Linked DNA regions of Daphnia pulex. The protein of the gene in region 2 interacts with the protein of the main gene of each other region in a biochemical or structural test. Links are inferred from orthologs where the notes say so. Each region holds a gene or a part of one and is shown on either strand. Other genes may lie near its edges.

What was found.
Region 1: the proteins of homeobox protein extradenticle-like (region 2) and homeotic protein ultrabithorax-like are reported together in a solved structure, tested with the Drosophila melanogaster proteins (2 studies listed by BioGRID). The link is inferred for Daphnia pulex from reciprocal best matches to the Drosophila melanogaster genes exd and Ubx.

The regions. Positions count from the first base shown.
Region 1 is NC_060024.1:12,346,299-12,349,956, forward strand, and holds part of homeotic protein ultrabithorax-like, read left to right. Parts: 5' UTR 1-986; coding exon 987-1,827; intron 1,828-3,658. UniProt on the Drosophila melanogaster protein: Sequence-specific transcription factor which is part of a developmental regulatory system that provides cells with specific positional identities on the anterior-posterior axis. Binds the consensus region 5'-TTAAT[GT][GA]-3'.
Region 2 is NC_060023.1:11,356,169-11,359,926, forward strand, and holds the start of homeobox protein extradenticle-like, read left to right. Parts: upstream 1-1,257; 5' UTR 1,258-1,344; exon of another isoform or gene 1,345-1,434; intron 1,435-1,691; 5' UTR 1,692-1,767; coding exon 1,768-1,938; intron 1,939-2,000; coding exon 2,001-2,142; intron 2,143-2,207; coding exon 2,208-2,458; intron 2,459-2,548; coding exon 2,549-2,739; intron 2,740-2,814; coding exon 2,815-2,950; intron 2,951-3,018; coding exon 3,019-3,118; intron 3,119-3,197; coding exon 3,198-3,349; intron 3,350-3,416; coding exon 3,417-3,476; 3' UTR 3,477-3,758. Other genes in the region: surfeit locus protein 1-like, read left to right, coding at 51-140, 212-336, 399-584, 636-809, 866-1,079. UniProt on the Drosophila melanogaster protein: Transcription factor which acts with the selector homeodomain proteins altering the regulation of downstream target genes such as wingless (wg), teashirt (tsh) and decapentaplegic (dpp), thus affecting segmental identity.

The DNA of each region.
Region 1 (3,658 bases), on a different chromosome or scaffold from region 2:
AGAGACTCGTCATTTAGAAAATTACTGGAGGAAGACGGAAGAAAAAAAGAAACTCTCGACGTGACCCGTCGTCCAAGTAAACGGGCCCGCTGTTTTCTACGCAACAAACATACACACATACACAATCAACGAAAAAGCTGTTACATCTTACTCGAAAGTATCCTGTTGTGTGTATTGTGTGTGTGCAGTCGTTACGCGGTAGCTGGAATCGTCGTAGAGTGGCGCTGGCGACTCTTCCATTTCCAACAAGGGGCGAAGTGGGCGTGTCCTTCCGTCGACAAACACCAAAAGAATCCAGGCAAAGCTCCTCCCCCCTCATCCCACCCCAATCGCCCCTCGTGCCCGTCATGATGGTTGTGGCCACCACAGAGCGCAGGCCCGACCCGCGGCCGCAGAGCCATTAAAAGCGGATGCGTGCAGCAACCCAAACGACGATCGCTCATTGGCTCTCGCAGCCAACCCCCCGCCAAGGCGAGAGAGTAGACCCCACCTCTTCGACTCCGGCTGCTGCTGCTGCCGCCACCGCCGCCGCTACTACTACAACAACTACTACTACTCATACCCCCATTATAGAGGCCTCCGTGTCTTTGCCCGGCACCCTTTTGAGAGTCCCGCGTACAGCAGACGGCTTTAGTTGATCGCTATCAGCAGACTCCGACGCAAGCGTGTGCCCAGTGTGTCCTCTCCTCTCTTCTCTCTTCCCTTTGAGCGCGCGGGACCGAGTCCCATCACGGCACACAGTTTGAATAGTACAGTCTGCCACTCTCTCACTCAGTGTATTCCCTTCTTCTCATCAGTGCAGTCGTCAACGATTCGTTCGTTGAGTCAAAATCGGACCTTGAGTGTTACAAATTATTTTTTTTTTTTTCGTTTTTTAATTTGTGAAATTGGATTTGGTGTGGCGAATTAAAGTGAACGAATTTTTTTCGGTGGTGGACAAGATAAGACGAAAGAAAAAATTGGTAAAGCGAAAAAGTTGATCGAAAATGATGAACTCGTACTTTGAACAGTCCGGCTTCTACGGTGGACATGGACAGACGGGGGCCGAGCAGGCGTACCGATTCCCGTTGGGTCTCGGAGTCAATCCTTACGGGCCGCCCTCAGGCGGCGTGACCCGCCAGCAAGTCGATTCCTACGACCAGTCGACAGCGGCGGCTGCGGCGGCGGCCGCAGCGGCCGCTTCCTGCAAACTCTACGAGCAACAGTACAAATTGGACTGCAGCAAAGCCGACCAGAACGGCTACAGTTCGGCGGGCATCAACGTCAAATCCGACAACAATTCGGCCATCAGTTCGTGGGCGCAGGCGGCGGCGGCTGCGGCGGCCGATGCGGCCAGAGCGGCCCAGCAAGGTGGAGTCAACGACCGGGGTGTCGGAGTGGGTTCCGTCGGTCACGGACACAACAACATCAACAACCGAGGCGTGGTGGGCGGCGGCGGTGGCGGAGTCGTCGGAGGCGGCGGCGGTTACCCGGGCGTCGTGTCCAACGTCTCTGGCGGCGTCGGAGTCGGGCCGGAAGCGGCCATCAGCGCCGTCACCCCTCGCCCGGCCAACTCGGTCGGTCCAAACAACAACCCGTGGAGCCCGTGCTCCCTCAACGCCACCACAGCCGTTCAGGCGCCGGTGCCGCAGCACGGAGGCGGCGGCGGCGTCGGCGTCGTGTCCCAGCACAACACGCAACACTCGCAACAACACCAACACAACTCGGTTCAACAGCACAGCAACCACAACACGAGCGGTCAGCACGCCAGCCACGCCATTAGCCAGCAGCAATCGCCACAGAGTCAATCGTCTGCCCATACATTCTACCCGTGGATGGCCATCGCCGGTAAGTCCGCGCCCTCCCGCTCATTTCATTTTTTCCTTTTTCTTTTTCAAACATCGTAAATTACCGGGCGCGTCTCTTTTTCCTCTTTTTTTGAAAAATAAAATAAAAGACGAACGCGTGGGACATAATTTACGATCCGTTTTCACGAGTGTCATGAGATCGACAGCAACAAAGTCGCAAAACTGTGTCGGATCACGATTTTGTGTGTTTTCGACGGCCCTGTTGAACGCTTCTGACCGCTCCTGTGATGATGATGATGATGTACTCTTACGTGATGGTGGTGCAGGGGGGGCTGCTGGAAGTAGGGGGCGGAGCGCGTCATAACTCTTTTTTCTTTTTCGGCCGGTACAACTAGCGGAAAGAGACGGGCACGGCACACACACACATACACACACACACGTCTAAGCTGCATGATCCGAACGACTCGTCCTCGGCCGTGTCGCTCAACAACACGCAGACCCCCTTTTTTTTTCTTTCTTTCACTTTTGATGACCTCCATAAAAATTCGAAACCGTCGGACCTTTGCAATGGGCTCGTAACTTTCCTTTGTTGCCCGTCCAGTGGCAGTTGCGCAGTCTGCAGCACCCAAATCACATAAAATGTCCTGTTTTTTTAACTAGTCTTCCTCGTTTATGTTTGTTTGGTTGGTGGGGGGGTCGCCACGCCAATCCAATCCAGAGAGGGAAAAAGGCGTCACAGCAAAACAAATAATAATACTAATAAAAAAAGAACCGATGAAGGGGGGATATTCAATTCTATCCAACAAGAGAATCATAAAATAAATAAAAATTATTCTCCCTAAACCCTCTGAAAAAAAAAAACTTGATTATAATTAAGCGAAACGAGATTGTGAATTCGTGTTATCATTGTCTGGGTAACGGACCGATGGCGATTTTTTTTTTGTCCACTCTGTTTCACGAGAAATTTGTAAAACACACATTTTGTCCGGCTGTAATCCAAGACGACTAAAGAAAAAGAGAGAAAGGGCCTTGTCTGCTTAGTATGCAAATAGCTCTTTCTTTCTCTCTCTCTCTCTCTCGTTCACTATCTATCGGCGTTCTCCCCTTTTTTTCCTTTTTATCTTCCCTCTCATTCTCTTTCGTCTTCAGGTTGCCAGCTAGATTGTATGTTACAGTCGATAAGGCCGCAGAGATTACCCAATATGCCTTTTTTTTCCTTCCTTTTATTCTTCTTCTCCTCGAGGAAATAAATTCATCCTGTTGCTGCTGCTGCTGCTGTTACCACTGGGTACAGCGATAAAAGCTGAAAAAGAGAAGGAAAGAGAGATGGCCATTTCGCTCGAGCGTCCAGGAGTCCCGAGGCGTTGCGTGCGCAACAGGTCTTGCGGGATTAACGAAACAAGCTAGTATACGATTTATCAATAGTTGAAGATGGGTGAAAGAAGAAAAAATTTGCCTCTAGATACCTATTTCGAAAGCAAACACAAATAGCGTTTTGCCGTTCATTTCCAGGTAGATCAATTAAAAATGTGTAAATTGTTGGAATTTCTAAATACCCCTAAGACTCCCCGGGGATCGACACGGGCCGTTAAATGGTTCAGGTCATCAGAGAATGACATCTTAAGTTAAAAGCACAAGGTGGAAGGCTATTATATGTAACATCGTGTATAACGGCAGCTACGAGATTTGTTGAAGGGCGACCCAAAAAACTAAAAATGTTTAAAATAGTAGGCGGGAACCCCAGAAAAAAAAAGAAAAAAATGAAAAAGGTCTTTTTTTTCCTCTTTTCCTCAGGTGAGACATGCGGGGGGTCGGGACTGTTGGTCAGGAATGGCGGACCCCGTGGGTATCTGGGACGAAAACACTGGGGT
Region 2 (3,758 bases):
TATAGCTTCAAAACTGTGTTTTTCAACATTCATTTTCTGCTACTATTCAGACATGTACACAAAATTACGTAAGACGATCAGCCTCAAGCTATGGGCAAAGAAATGCTGTAGATATCGGAATTCACGGTTATTCGTTATTGGTAAGATAATCGATTTTAAAAATAAAACGTACATATAGTTCTTTAACAAAAAATTGATCCAATAAATGTAGGCTATTCCAGCCATCACTTTCGGCCTTGGGACCTGGCAGATTTTCAGACGTCAGTGGAAACTTGGTGTTATTGATCATCTTGCCAGCAGAACGTCTGCACCACCAATTCCATTTCAGTCTACAGAGTGAGACTGATACAATTCTTTAACTCTACCCTTTTATGCATATTTACACCAATGCTCTACAGTATTGAAGGGCTATCTGACATGGAATACCGGAAGTTTGAACTCCATGGAAAATTTGAACATGACAAAGAGATTTACATTGGGCCAAGATCACTGGTTGGAAATGAAAAAAATGAAGGTGGTGGGATGTTGTCTTCAGGGCAGAGTGGCTATTTAGTCATCACTCCATTTAAACTATCAGATTCCAAGTAAGACATTCAAACAGTTAATTTTCTCAATTTTCTACAAGTTACTTTTAGTCTCACAGTTCTTGTAAACCGCGGATGGATTCCTCGTAAAAAAATGAATCCATTCACCAGACTAAATGGACAAAGAGAAGGCGAAACAAAACTGATTGGAGTGTACCGCTCTAATGAAAATCGCCCCCAGTTTGTACCCCAAAATCAGCCCAAAGACCGCATGTTTCATTTCAGGTAAAGACAATTATATTTTTCGCAAAGTTAGATAACTTCATATATATTGCGTACAGAGATGTGGAGGGAATGGCTCGGCTTCTAGACACTGCGCCAATTTTCTTTGACGCGGACGCTGATAGCACAGTACCGGATGGACCTGTAGGTGGACAAACAGTTGTTACTGTTAGAAATGAACACGTTTCGTACATTTTAACGTGGTATTCATTATCAATTATCACAGCATTTTTGTGGCATCGACGATTTATCAAGAAAATGCCTCTTATGTAACTTAAATGTATTTATCTTCATAGAGGTTAAAGTCAAATTAATACATTTTAACATCAAACATCATTATATTTTTACTCTTGTTGCGTTTTCATTTGTAAAAATAAAATTTTAATTAATAAAATTCAAAATAAAAAATAAATACAGTATCGCGAGTTTCTAGTACATCGATTATTGGCTTACCCGATATAATTATCGATACTTACCTTTGTGATCGCGTTCTCGCGTCTTTTTTGCTTTGTCCCGTCGATAATCTCGGCGATCTCTGGTAATTATTTTATGAGCCTTTGAGAAATGTGATTCAGTCTGTTTGAATACTAAACAACTCGTGAATTCCCGGTTTCAAATTGTGTGTCAAGTCAGTAAAGAAAGTTTTTATTCTAATTGAAAGAAATACGCTACGCAAGCAAACTTCTCTTCCATGGCGGACGCTTGTCGCCTTGGGCATTTTATAAGACGTTGGCATTTTTATATTAACCGAAGCCAATTTTTGTTATTTACGATTGCTTTCTTGCAATACTAGTGCTTTGTTGTGTCTAGTACATTTCATTTTATGTTTACATTTCATGAAATCACATGTATGGATGTTAGTAAACGGAAAGTCATTGTTTACAGGGTCTTTATTGCCAGGTCCTGTAGCCTGAAGGCAATACGTTTTGTGCAGTGACATTGGAAGATTTCATTGCTTTTGATGGATGATCCAAATCGACTTATGCATCCTGTTCCAGGTGGCCAGGTTGGACTAATGCATCAGCCACCGTATGGGTTACCTCCTGTCAATGTCGGAGTCAATGTTGGGGTTAACATGGCTTCACTTGATGGAGGGAACCAAGACTCTGAAAATATGACTGGACGAAAGCAGGTGTGTACAATTCCATTTCCAAAATCTTTTTTTCCTTTTAAGTAAAACTTCTTTTTTTTTAGGATATTGGAGAAATTCTGCAACAGATCATGAACATCACAGACCAGAGTCTTGATGAAGCCCAAGCACGCAAGCATACCCTGAACTGTCATCGCATGAAACCTGCTTTGTTTTCTGTCTTGTGTGAAATCAAAGAGAAAACTGGTAACCCTATTTCAATATGAATCCAAGTGATTGAATGGTAACATTAAATTGTGCTCTCACTTTAGTTTTGTCGCTACGCAACACGCAAGAAGAGGAGCCTCCAGATCCGCAACTCATGCGGTTGGATAACATGTTGATTGCTGAAGGAGTAGCTGGTCCTGAAAAAGGAGGTGGGGCCGGTGCTGCTGCCAATGCATCAGCTGCAGCGTCTCAAAGCGGCTCAATGTCGGACTCGGCTATTGAACACTCTGATTATAGGGCTAAGTTGGCACAAATTCGTCAAATTTACCATCAAGAGCTTGAGAAATATGAGCAGGTACACATTTTTAGCAATGCTTATTTTTTTATTGGACCTCTATGACAAGAAAATGGAGAATAACCATTTCATTTTTACATCCGCTTTCAGGCTTGCAGTGAATTCACCACCCATGTTATGAATTTGCTCCGAGAACAATCCCGTACTCGTCCGATTACACCCAAGGAGATTGAGCGGATGGTTCAGATCATTCATCGCAAGTTTAGCTCCATCCAAATGCAGCTGAAGCAAAGCACTTGCGAGGCCGTTATGATTTTACGATCTCGTTTCCTCGACGCCAGGTAAATTTTGCTATTTTTTTAAGGTTTGACCACGCCCATTAAAGGTGTTGTTCTATCGATGTCTTCATCATGTAGGAGGAAGCGGCGTAACTTCAGCAAACAAGCTTCTGAGATCTTGAATGAGTACTTCTACTCGCACCTAAGCAACCCCTACCCAAGTGAAGAAGCCAAAGAAGAGCTCGCTCGTAAATGTGGGATCACCGTTTCACAGGTTAATTTCTTTTTAAATCCTTTTAAGAGGAATAAGCGCATTAATGTTTTGTTATTTTTACAAAAAAGGTTTCGAATTGGTTCGGTAACAAACGAATTCGTTACAAGAAAAACATTGGAAAAGCCCAAGAGGAGGCCAACCTGTATGCTGCTAAAAAGGCCGCGGGTAGTTGTTTCCACTCTGAGGATTTTCAAATCCTCGTATTACCGGAGCGATTCTAATTTTCGTACTTTTTCTTTCTCGTTAGGTTCCTCGCCATACAGTATGGCTGGAACTCCCGGACCGATGATGTCGCCTCAACCTGGTGGTCCTGAACTCAGGGGTCCACAAGATTCCTTAGGCCCGTACGGTGCTATGGGACTCAACGGTGGTGACTTTCCTTCCTCCATGGGCGGCCAAGTAAACTACTTTTAATGACTTAACTAGTGGTATCTCAGCATATTAATTAATGTAAACGTGTTTGTAGGGCTATGGCGATTCATCGATGGGTTATGATCCAAGTATGCATCAAGTGAATTCACCCTGAGGGGTGGACGAGTGCCCCTTCTCCTCCTCCACCCTATTTCTCGGCAAATCAACTCTTAATTTACTAACTTCATCAGATCTTGATCATACTGTGCGTTACAAGCTATCTTCAGCTGTTCGATTAACTCGTTCTAACCCATCTCGTACTCCTTCTTTTGTCCCTTCCTCTCAGTGCAGCTTTGTTGTTTCGTCTTGATAGAAAATGTTTCTGTGGATCACCTCGATCGGTGCTTGTTTTTTCTCATTTGTTTCAGAAACCTCTGTAGTTTTAATCGCTTTTGCG